Linked DNA regions of Neurospora crassa OR74A. The protein of the gene in region 3 purifies or fractionates together with the protein of the main gene of each other region. This does not show direct contact. Links are inferred from orthologs where the notes say so. Each region holds a gene or a part of one and is shown on either strand. Other genes may lie near its edges.

Evidence for each region.
Region 1: the proteins of NCU02587 (region 3) and NCU05523 purify together in Saccharomyces cerevisiae (affinity purification with western blotting; 4 studies listed by BioGRID, with this or other methods). This does not show direct contact. The link is inferred for Neurospora crassa OR74A from reciprocal best matches to the Saccharomyces cerevisiae genes TFB3 and TFB2.
Region 2: the proteins of NCU02587 (region 3) and NCU01580 purify together in Saccharomyces cerevisiae (affinity purification with western blotting; 5 studies listed by BioGRID, with this or other methods). This does not show direct contact. The link is inferred for Neurospora crassa OR74A from reciprocal best matches to the Saccharomyces cerevisiae genes TFB3 and TFB4.

What each region holds. Positions count from the first base shown.
Region 1 is NC_026506.1:1,624,875-1,628,953, reverse strand, and holds NCU05523 (transcription factor tfb2), read left to right. Parts: upstream 1-1,197; 5' UTR 1,198-1,545; coding exon 1,546-1,669; intron 1,670-1,753; coding exon 1,754-3,135; 3' UTR 3,136-3,469; downstream 3,470-4,079. Other genes in the region: NCU05522 (PaaI thioesterase), read right to left, coding at 1-109, 190-255, 374-554, 620-635, 705-745, 803-841. UniProt on the Saccharomyces cerevisiae protein: Component of the general transcription and DNA repair factor IIH (TFIIH) core complex, which is involved in general and transcription-coupled nucleotide excision repair (NER) of damaged DNA and, when complexed to TFIIK, in RNA transcription by RNA polymerase II.
Region 2 is NC_026502.1:3,029,953-3,033,940, reverse strand, and holds NCU01580 (transcription factor TFIIH subunit Tfb4), read left to right. Parts: upstream 1-1,447; 5' UTR 1,448-1,766; coding exon 1,767-3,086; 3' UTR 3,087-3,448; downstream 3,449-3,988. Other genes in the region: NCU01581 (hypothetical protein), read right to left, coding at 3,449-3,988. UniProt on the Saccharomyces cerevisiae protein: Component of the general transcription and DNA repair factor IIH (TFIIH) core complex, which is involved in general and transcription-coupled nucleotide excision repair (NER) of damaged DNA and, when complexed to TFIIK, in RNA transcription by RNA polymerase II.
Region 3 is NC_026501.1:2,825,068-2,828,772, reverse strand, and holds NCU02587 (RNA polymerase II transcription factor B subunit 3), read left to right. Parts: upstream 1-1,468; coding exon 1,469-2,557; 3' UTR 2,558-3,079; downstream 3,080-3,705. Other genes in the region: NCU02588 (nuclear movement protein nudC, variant 1), read right to left, coding at 1-131, 257-468, 563-575. UniProt on the Saccharomyces cerevisiae protein: Acts as a component of the general transcription and DNA repair factor IIH (TFIIH or factor B), which is essential for both basal and activated transcription, and is involved in nucleotide excision repair (NER) of damaged DNA.

The DNA.
Region 1 (4,079 bases), on a different chromosome or scaffold from region 3:
TTTTGGGACTTCCAGGCGTTGGCGACATACTTTGTATGACTACCACGGGCACATAGCTCGCCCTTTTGGTTGCGGAAAGTGACGGTGGTGTAGGCAAGAGTCTTGCCCACTGTTTGGTTGTTGATGATGAAGGTTAGTCATGTCAATAATTCATGTTGCTGATGCAAAGGGGCAGGAAGAAAGACTTACTCTTGTCACACACAGCGGTCCCGGAAATCTTCTCGCCGACTTTCCCACCGCTACTAAGGTAGGTAACTGAGTTTTTTCATATACATTTTAGTATTGTGTGTTTGCGGAAAGCAGCACATAACTGGGCTGGAGTTCTTTTGTCCGAGTAGGCATGAATCAATCTCATGGAAGGAAGGAAACATACCGTTCAGATCCGTCGACACACCGGTGGCGTAGAGTCCTTTCGAGGCTACAGCCAGAGAACCACCAAGGTCAACCATGCTGGCGATGGTCCCGCCGTGGATGATCTTTAGACGGTTGGTGTGGTCTTTGGTGATGTCGAGTTCAAAGTCGACCTTGCCTTCGGTGGCACCGGTTACCCGGAGCTAGTTTGGTCATATCAGTTACATGTTCGTTGTATCCATGGAATTTTGTGGTGTCTTTTGCCTACATGAGGTCCGAGGAGTCTGTAAAATTTGGTCAGTCTCATGTCTTGATCTCTTCTTGACAGACCATGGTGATGTGTCATCACTTACCTCGGCTCAAGGCCGGACTCGGCCATGAACGACTTCAGGACCTAACATGCTGTAAGCAACCGAGTCAATGCAGCTGTGAAATGAGTTCCTGAACTAACCGATCTCACGAATCTCGCTGGTGGAAGCTTGGGTGCCATTTTTTTGTTGCTGTTGACCTCGAAATAGGAGACGATGTAAGAGGGATACACGAGGTGTGCTTCAGATGCGGTGTCTGGACTACCTCTAGGTGGACTTGGGGACGGAACACTGCTGTGAATGCCGGAAATCACCACCCGGGACAGGCGCTGTTACAGTGGCTTTAGAAGCAGACTGGCCGACCCGGGAGACGGTAGACAAATGCCGGACAGTGGAACGGTGACGTCGTAACAGGGACTGGTAGTGCCTGCCACGAGGGTCCGAAGTCCCCACTTATGCTTGGTGACCACCTGCAAGGGCACCACGGGGCAGGCAACCTATCCTCGCGCGCGTACAACGCAATGATCATCAACAGCCTTCAAGGTCTTCTTTTGCACCTTATGCCTTTCACCCACAAGTGCCACCGGCTACACCATTATCGCTCGATTCCCTGGGTACCTACCGAATAAACATATACTCGATTCATCATAAATCACACTTCCGTCGATATAACACTTTCCACCTAGAAGTTGGTTTTGGTCCCCATATCTGCCAGCAGAAGTCAACCAGTAGCATTACATCGTGATCCTCTCGACGAGCCATCTGGACTTGACGACATTCGAAGCACTACGTTTACCGAATATTCGACTTGACCTTTCACATTGCCATTCACATAGCGATAACGAATCTCTATTAGCGGCCCGCTGTGCCCGCCCGTCTATCCACCATGTCACTCGGCGGACAACAGCTCCTCGAGTACTTGGAGAAGCTGCCAGGTACAGCTTTTAGGAGACTGTACCAGTCACCAGCGACAGCTTTGGCCATCTTCCGCCGTATGCTGTCTTATCATGGTATGCAATTGTTCCTCGAGTCAGATACCGAAGTCTTGGACGCCGAATCTATAGCATGTAGCTAACTCCTTTGTCCCTCGATAGCCAAGGTTATTGTCCGAGGTCTACTGTACATGCCCGACCCATTCCCGTTAACCTCCCTTGACATATGGTTCCCTCCAGAGGGCGGCGGAAAGATACATCGCGATCGCACCATTGCCGCTCTCCGATCCCTCCACATCCTACAGGTCTCACCACCAAGCAAGGACCGAACCCAAGAAATCCAAATCACGGCGAGCTTCAAGAAAGGCCTACAACTAGCCTTCGAAGGGGGCGGCGAAGATGGCAGCTTTGGCGTCCCTAGTTCTCTTCCCGTCGATCCCTCCATCGACATCGCCTACCTGGACAGGTACGCTCGTAAGAAGTGGGACGACATCCTCCACTACGTTGTCAACAGTCTTGGGGTCCACGGCAGCTCAGAAGGGGTCAGCGGACCCAAGGCCAGTGTGAAGGAACTACTCTTGGCCGGACGCCTCGTCGAACGACGTCCAGACACCCGTACAGGAATCGGAATTACGCAAGCCGGTTTCACCTTCCTTCTCCAGGAGTCCAACGCCCAAGTATGGACGCTCCTCCTCCTCTGGCTCGAAGCAGCCGACCACACGGCCGACTCGGGCATGGACAGCATTGACATGCTCTCCTTCCTCTTCATGCTCAGCTCGCTTGAGCTTGGAACTGCCTACGATACTTCGGCCCTGACCGAGACGCGGCGGAATATGCTTCCCTCGCTCGTCGACTTCGGGCTCATCTACTTCCCGCGCGACACGCGCCAGTTTTTCCCTACCCGCCTGGCCACCACACTGACCAGTACCGCCTCGGCCCTGCGCACCGTCTCCTCGGCTTTCACGGCCGCAACCGCCAACCCCTCGGGCGAGCCCGGCACCACGACCAGCACCAGCGGCGGCCCCGCCGCCACCCCCGACAAAACACAGACAGCAGCCAAGGGCATCATCATCGAGACCAACTATCGTATCTACGCCTACACCACCTCCCCGCTACAAATCGCCGTCCTGGCTCTCTTCTGCCAGCTCAACATGCGTTTCCCCAACATGGTCTCGGGCCGCCTAACCCGCGACTCCATCCGCCAAGCAATCGGCTTCGGCATCACCGCCGACCAAATCATTTCCTACCTACACGCGCATGCTCATCAACAAATGGTGCGCGAAGCCACGGTCACGGGTAAACCGGTGCTTCCCCCGACGGTGGTGGACCAGATCAGGCTTTGGCAGCTGGAGAACGAAAGGATGCAGACCACGGCGGGCTTCTTGTTCAAGGACTTTGAGAGCACGGAGGAGTACGCGGCGCTGAGCAGGTATGCGGAGGAGATTGGCGTACTAGTGTGGAAGAATGATAAGAGGCAGCTCTTTTTTGCCAGCAAGCATGAGCAGTTGAGGGATTATTTGAAGAGTCGGAAGAAGGGGGAGTAAGAGGGGCAGGTTTGTAAGAGAGGGTGGTTTGGATTCGGGGGTGGTTCAGTATGGTTGGAATGAACCCAAGTACCTAGGTACCTCTTGTGGGTGGATGCAATGGGTAGGCGATGGGGTCTTGCATCGTAAAACTTTTACATCTGTGGGCAGGGCAGGATCAACATTTGCATTGAAAAAAGGAGTTCTGGCTTGGGTGGGTGGTTTGGCATCACGCAATTACTAGCTTATACTGTAGACAGGAGTTGGGGGTAAGAAAGGGCCATGTTCAAAATACGAGGTAATGGTCGCCTCGAAATAGGGATGACCTCTTACAAAACAAAGAACTCGATTTCATATGATCATACACATGCAAACCTCTTTTTGACATTCGATTGAGAACAACGCTTCAAGTCATCGGGAGACGTACTATACGAGACCGAAGAGATTGGAAAAAGGGTGCTCGAACAAAATCAGCCTGCTCACTGTGCTACACATCTTTGTGATATACACCTCTTGATACGCCATCCTAGCTGACAGGGCTCAATGACAGGAGTATTGGCGAGGGACTGATCATACTCGGCGGCAATTGCACCTGTACCGAAACTCAAAGTTTGATCATTGAAAGAAATGTCAATACAAGACTAACTACCATTTATTTGCGTTACCATTATGAGGTTCAAGGCATCAATGAATGCCAGAACTGCCCTCTACAACGCCGGACCTTTGCCTCTTACCCTGGGTATGTGAAGCGGTAAGATGAGGTCGGAAACCGAGAAAATACTCTATAGAGAAGTCCGACCATGCCTGTTACCATGAATATCTAGAGCGAAATGACTATGCTCTTGTTCTGTAGTCTCTTCCATCACTCCAAAAGGAGGCCGTAATGCTTGCTCTATCTTTCAAGCCAATAATACACATGCAATAATAGTACAGCTCATAAATCCGTTCCATCGTCCATTCATCGC
Region 2 (3,988 bases), on a different chromosome or scaffold from region 3:
GATATCCCCCCCGGTGCGCCGACCCCTGGCTGTCGTCCGTGATGTAGATGAGTGCAACTCGCTGACCGGGGAAAGACAGGATTCCTCGGGGATCCACCACGGACGTGGTCGGCGCGGTAACTGAGATCGACCGCGCGGATATAGGTGGATGCGCGGTTGTCGAACTATTGTTTCTAGGAAAAGCAGTAGGGTTCAGAGACTTCACATCACAGGGTTCGTATGTTTGTGCCGAGCCTCCATTAACGCCGGTCCAGGGGTGACTCCATCGAGCTTCGGCACCGCGGCACCGTCATGTTGGACTATTGATTTATAGTTTCCTCCGGTGCGTCGGCATCTTGCTCGAGATGACCACCGGGAAGACTGTTTGTCATATTGCCGTTACTGGTCGAAACAAGCCAGCGTCCACTTTGTCCATAGAGAGACGACCGCATGAGTTCCACCTGGGCTCGGCATATTCATGAAGAACTAAGTTGCCGTCGTTCTGGAAGGTAAATTATTGTCTCGGAAGACAAGTTCGCTTTTCTGTTCTTTGATCTGGAAGAGCTACCGGGGTTATAATGTCGCCGGCCTTGAAAGATTCCTGTGTCTACTATGTATGAGTGAAGGGTGTTATAAGATCGGGAACTTGAACAACTTACCATAGGGGAATATTCGGTGGTGGTTACAGTGCTAGAGGTAGATAATCGGGAGTAATCAAGGCAGTTACATATTGCGAGAGCATGGAAAGAACAATGTCTTAAATTGAGCTTCAGTTTTGTCTATTCCTTACCTACCTGGCTGCCCCTTCCTTAGATACTTGTACTTCTCTTCCTCAAAACCTCACAATACCTATCGATGATAGTCTTGGCCATAGGCTTCCAACGTAAAGCTGTCGTCACCGGGGTAACCCCTAAGCCAATAAGAGCCCGACTACAGACCAAGGACACCTTGAATTGCACAGCCGGTGACTTTAAGCCACTCTCGGTTGACAGTCTTGCGCCATCCTTCTAAAGGAGATCCTCGTACGATATGTGAATAAACCGAAAAGGGAACATGTGATGGTGTGGATGGATCAAAGGAAAAAGATGACCTCGCTGTTGGTGTCAAAAGTTATGCACGCTTGCGTGTTCATCACCCGGCTGTTTTGGTGGTAATGCTGGGGTCGTTGAACTAGAATCGGACACAGCAGGAAGAGAAGAATAAGATGAGAGATGAAGGACATGTTCGGATGAAGGTGATATCATTGTACATAGAGGAGCTAGGATATCTTGACCAATAGGAAAGCGAGAACTGGACTACATCTGTATGTTTAACTGCATGTTAGTGCTCTAACTGCATATCTTTTGACCACTAAGGAAAATGCCGGCAATCTGCCTTATCGGGTATCACGTGGTAGCGTGTGCACTTGGACCAGGATCCTTTGGCCTTCACTTGGATCGCGTTTCGCTTGCAACCCCGAAATCGTTATCGCATTTCTCCGTTACGTTATCGCATCTGCAGTGTTCTCGACGAGAAGGTCTTCTTGGGCGCGTCAATCCTATTCAGCAGACATAACCAATCCAGACAACAACTATAACGAATATCACACAACAGAGCGCCCGCTTAGCTATCCTGCCATCTCTCGATCCAGCATCCAGACAAGCTCCCTACGAGCACCGGCGCACTGAGTATCGCGGCGACAAAAGGCCTACGTCATGTACACCAACTGGCTTCGATCCACGATATAGCTCTACAACACACACAACCTTGAAGCGAGTTGAGGCTGTCCCTGCCAGATCATCGTCAAGATGACGGTCCAGGACGCCGTCGACGCCTCCGAACACTACGAAATCTACAACACCGATGATATCCCCTCCCTTTATACCATAATCATCGACACCAACCCACGCGCCTGGGCCGCCCTGAACGATGTCCTCCCACTCACGAAAGCGCTCGCCAACATTCTAATATTTGTCAACTCCCACTTAGCCTTCAATAACTCCAACCAAGTAGCTCTCATAGCATCACACACGAACCGGGCAGTATGGCTCTACCCAACAGCACCCGACCAGAACCCCGGCCGACACCCGCAAAATCCAAACGAAGACATCGAAATGCGCGACGCCTCCTTCACAAGTAAACAACAATCTCCACCGCCCGCAAACAAATACCCCCTCTTCGCCCAAATCGAGCGCTCCCTCCTCTCCTCCCTGCGATCTCTCATAACCGACACCACAACCGAGGACATCACCTCTACAACCACCACCCAGATTTCCGGCGCCTTGACCCTCGCCCTCGCGCACATCAACAAAACCGCCCTCCTCTTCGCCCCCTCCAACTCCGCCACCGGCCCAACCCCCTCCTCCGCAGGCGGCAAGTCCTCCGTCTCCACAACCTCCGGCGCCGGCCCAGGCGGCGGCAACGCAGCCTCCCTCCCTGGCATCGGCGGTGGCGGCCTGGCAGGCCTGCACGCCCGCATCCTGGTGGTCAGCGTAAGCGACAGCTCCCCCTCGCAGTACATCCCTACCATGAATGCTGTGTTCGCGGCGGCGCACGCGCGCATTGCCATCGACACGCTGGCGCTGCGGGGTAGTGCAACGTTCTTGCAGCAGGCGAGCTATATTACGCGCGGCACGTTTATACGGGCGCAGGAGCCGAGGGGACTATTGCAGTACTTGATGTTTGGGTTTGGAAGCGGGAGCGCGCCACAGGGGTTGGCGGCGGCAGGGAACCAGCGGTCTCAGCAGCAGCATGGGGGACATAAGGGGAAAGAGGACAAGGCGAGCGAGAAGGCCCTTGGCGCCGCGGCCAAGGGAGGGGCCAAGCATGGAGGCCAGAAGTTTCTGGGGAGTAATGCTAGCGTGGCGGATCTGTTGGTCACCCCTAGTGCGGACTCGGTGGATTTCCGGGCGGCGTGTTTCTGTCATCGGAACGTGATTGATACGGGGTTTGTGTGCAGTATCTGCTTGAGCATTTTTTGCGAGGTGCCCGAGGGTGGGGAGTGTTTGACATGCGGCACCAAGTTAGCGTTGGGGAATTACGGGAGGAAGTTACCTGTGCTGCCTTCAAAGGCTGCTGCTCCTCCTGGAGGGGGGCAGGCGAATGGGAAAGGGACGATGCTGAAATAAGTCTTCAGCGAGGTATGGAATAGAGTGAAGAGGTAACTGATGGTGGATGATTCTTTTGTCCTGGGCCGGGGAACCAGGCAGTCAAGAGGCTGATTAGAGACTAGGGAGTGGTAAAGCCCACAAGATTGCTCGTGGGATGTCTACCGAAAGCGGACAAAAGGCTTGGAAAACTACATATACACATAGAGTCTGACATGCAGTGCTAATACCCATAAAACAGCTTTTATTGCGAATATCACTTTACTGGACATGGATTCCCACTATAGGATTCAGCCATCGATACCTGTTATTGGGGACATGTCTAGTCATTATCCATCGTTACATCATGCTCCCCCGACTCGCGTTCAACGTCCACCGTCCATTCATAACTCATCATCAGACTCAGTCTCACTCCCCTCATCTACTACAGCAGCAGGCTGAGACGCTCTCGTAGCCGTCGCCCCGGCCCTCTTAGTATGGGAAATGGGCGTTAGCGTCTCCTTTCCCTTTCCCTTTCCTACAACAGAAGCCGTCGTCTTTTTCTGAGGGGTTGTCGTCGCTGTCGAGGATGCCGCAGCCGTGCGTTGTCGTCTAGCAGGCGGCGGTGAAGGAGGCGGCGGCACATCAAGATCCTTGTCCCCTGCTTCTACAGTCCCATCATCCTCCTCATCGGGCTCACTGGCTGTTTCGTCATCGTCGTCGCGGTCTGGGGTGTTGCGGTCAGATGTCTTATTGAGGACCTCATCTTCGTCCTCGTCGTTATCAGTGACGTCCTCGTGATCGAGGGTTTTGCTAGAAGATGATTGTCCCATGGTGGTCGTCTTTGATGATGGTTCCGGCTCTGATTCTGGCTCAGGTTCCGGCTCGTCGACATCCATCTTTTCGAATTTTGCGTGGTCGTTGTCGTCGTCTCCATCATCGTC
Region 3 (3,705 bases):
GTGACTACGTGCGGCCACCACTCGAGCTTGTTGTGCTTTTCGAGATGGATCTCCAGGGCTTTTTGACCGGCGGGAGCGGGGGACAGCGTCCAAGTTGAATCGTCGAGGAGGATCGGGTGGGGGAGGTCGCCCTGGTTTTGTGGGAGGTGTCAGAATCGAGCTACTCGGCATGCGACATTGGGTGGTATGGTATAGGCGGCGTTGGAAAGTTGCAAGGGTTGTGATTTGTAGATATGTGGGCAAGTAGGTTGGTTACCTTGATGACGGGCTCTTGACCCTTAATACCAGCCGTAAGAGACTGCTTCTTTATCTCAACCACCATATCTTTGCCCTTTAGGTTACCAGGGACGAGGATGGTGATGTCGACGTCGCCAATCGTCTGAGTCCACTTGTAGGGGAGAGCCTCCTGCTCGGCTTGTTCCTTGGCGCGGGCAGCGGCCTCCTCGGCGGGGGTGAGCTCTGTTACGTCTGACATTGTTTGGTCAGTTGACTAGTGGGACCTGTTGATGGCGGATGGACTTTCTGGTCTTGGGAGCAAGAGGAGTTGAGCTCTAAAACGCACCTTTGTCAGCCATGTTGAAGGTGGTATTGTTGAATTCGGTGTAGATATTGGGCAACGACGGCAGCTTGGTGCAGTGGTGCAGTGGTGCAATGTGCGGTAATGTAAGTAGAAGACGATGGAACGCGCCTGAACGCGATGACCGAATTTCTGGAGGGGCAGGTAACCCGCATGGAACGGCTGCGGCCGCCCAATCCCAATCCTAGGAGCTGCCCGCGAGCGGCTGCTGTCACTGCCCTGGTAGCCCCTGCTCACCCCACGCTTGCCCGCGTCCAGTCCCCTGAGACAGAGCTGCCAGATGAGCGCGGCAGAGTGCCGTGCTGTGAATGATCTGGGAAGCCCCACCCTGCACCGCCAGGGTAGCGTCCATTGGAGCGCTGGCGCGGTTGGGGGCCAAGTGGAAACAAGGATTATTCAGCCCAAGCATAATAACTCTTATCAGTCCCTCTTTCACCACATCGTCAATCTCACTCGGGTTTCACCCAGACTTCCACTTGGTTGATTTTCATCACCTTCCCTATCCACCGTTGATACATGACTGCGTGACCCGGAATTTCTGCCTAGCCGAGCTGGCATTTTAGAACAACATTTCATCACCTAACAAGACGAGTACAAGTCCTCGTCGCCAAATCACGATCACCAAACAGATATAAAAGAAGATTTGGGCCGCGATCGCCACTCACTCACCGACACATCAAGAGACGTCCCGAGTTCTCAGATACGGACTACTGTCCCTTCGAAGGGAAACGCCCACTCCTCGCTATAATTCAGCATACATTTCTCTTGGCCATCATTTAACCTTTGGAAATCCCACTTCAGCACATCGATCCCCGTCTCCTCGAAGCGAAATTATCAAAACAACCCCCCCCCCCCCCCCCCCCCCCCCAAAAAAAAAAGAAACCACCCACCATGGCGCGCCCTCTCGACCCCCTCGGCTTCGAAGACGAAATGTGCCCCGTCTGCAAATCGCGCAAGTACCTCAACCCCGACATCGTCTTCGTCTTCAACCCCGAATGCTACCACTCCATGTGTCTCAACTGTGCCAACCGACTCTTCAACGACGGACCCAATCAATGTCCGCACGCCGGCTGCAACAAAACGCTCCGTCGCAAGGGCTTCCGCTCGGCTTTTTTCGGCGACTTGGCCGTCGAGCGCGAGGTCGACATCCGCCGTCGCGTGGCGGCGGTGTTCAACCAAGTCGAGGACGACTTTGAGACGCTCCAGGATTATAATAATTACTTGCAGATGGTGGAAGATTTGACGTTTGAACTTGTCAATGGGACGGATGAGAGGAGACGGCAGGCGGAGGCGCAATTGCAGGCATGGGAGGCGGAGCATAGGGCGGATATTGAACGGAATAAGAAGGCGGGGAGGGAGGCGGATGAGATTTCAAGAGTGAGGCTGGCAGCCGAAAGGGATGCTGTCAGGCAGAGGAGGATTGAGGCTATCAAGGAGGCGGAGGCGGAGAAAAGAGAGAGGGTGAGGAGTCGCGAAATGGAGCTGGATAACCTGGCCAAGGGAACCACTGCTATGACAGCGGAGCCGGCGACGAAGGTACAGCTAAAGAGGCGTGGGCAGGTGAATCGGGTTGCTGAAACAGCTTCCAACCCTGCCATCGCAACAACGGGAATGGGCACGGGCGCGTCGGAGGTTGAGCGTTTGTCCATCCGCGGCTTGAAGGAGAAGCCGAAGGCGCCGGCGCCACAGGGCCCGTACGACCCCTTTGGAGGCATGGACTTCGCGCCTAGTCGGTACAAGCTACATGGAGGCTTGAGTCACCCGCTTATGGAGAAGTACCGGTTGGACAGACAGCACGTTGCTGGTGGGTACAGCTTTGACGACTTTGCGGCGCGCGCCTTGTATGAAGCGTTTGCTGGGTTGGGTGTGTTTGTTGAGGATGAGAAGGAGGTCGGCAGTGGTATTGGGCTGTCACAAGAGACGAGCATGGCGGCGGGGATCGCCGCTGTGGTTGACGCGGATAAGATGGATTTGGACTGAGAGTGGTTCTGGACCGGTATGCCCCGGCCTTTTGGTTGGCGGTAATGGTGTTTTTGTTGCATAGCGACGGCGTTCACTCAGCGATTGAATATTTTTCTTTTTCCTCTCCGACGGATCTGGATTTAGGAACACACATGAGGCGGGACCAGCATCATATAGATCAACTTCAGACTCGGTGGTTTTAGAGGGCGCAAATATTCGGGTCTGCTGTGGATTTCTGGGTTCGAAATTCATTATGCGAATGGTCGCAGTCCAGCAGCCACATAAGACAGAACTTGGCGAACTGCAGTACATTCACTACTCTTTGCCACCCATCAAGCCATCTGTCTACTTGTAAGGAGTATCAAGGTCACTGAAGACCACGTTTTGTGTGAGGGATTGGGACGACGATGATGATGGAGAAAAGAAGAAGAAAAAGAAATTCAGACTAATAAGAGTGCGTCGATTGATCACAAAAATGCCCAAAAAAATATATAGATTAAGATTTACCAAACAAAAAGAGCCTCCAGGCTTCCCTACTGCAAAAATGTGTATGCCTCCCTTGCTGGCCATTCCTGGAGAGAGTGTTGGCAGCCAATCCTGAAAGTTTTGATGGTATGACCATTTATCATACCATACCTCTTTCACTCCTTTATCTCGAGATGCCCGGACCCCATTCCACCGTTTTTATGTAGCGTTCCATTCCAACTATTCTTCCCCCCTCCCCCTTGCGCTGCGCTGCTAAGCCTTGTATCTGGCCCTGCTCGTTAAGAAGCACTCGACGGCGGAAAAAAAAGCCTGATCTCTTCACAGTCAATCCTTGACTGCCTTATTGCCACCCATTTCGAAGGTACGAGCATCAAACCGCCCTGCTTACCCGAACATTGGCTGTCCTTTCGGTAGACTAAGGAGGGGCACCGTCAGAAGACTCGCGGCAACAATACCGAAAGATCAGGATTGCCGAATCGAATAACGAAGGCGGGTGAGAAAAAAGAGCTGAGCTCAAAAAATACAAAATAAAAGAAAATAAAACAAAAAGCAAAAGGAACGCCGCGCTAGATGCGTGACTTGCCGGTTCGTGTCATCCCGAACAAACCAGACAAGCCATAAGGAAGACAAGAGAATGACAGAAATGCGGGGCAGTGTGCCTGTCAACGACATACGCTTGG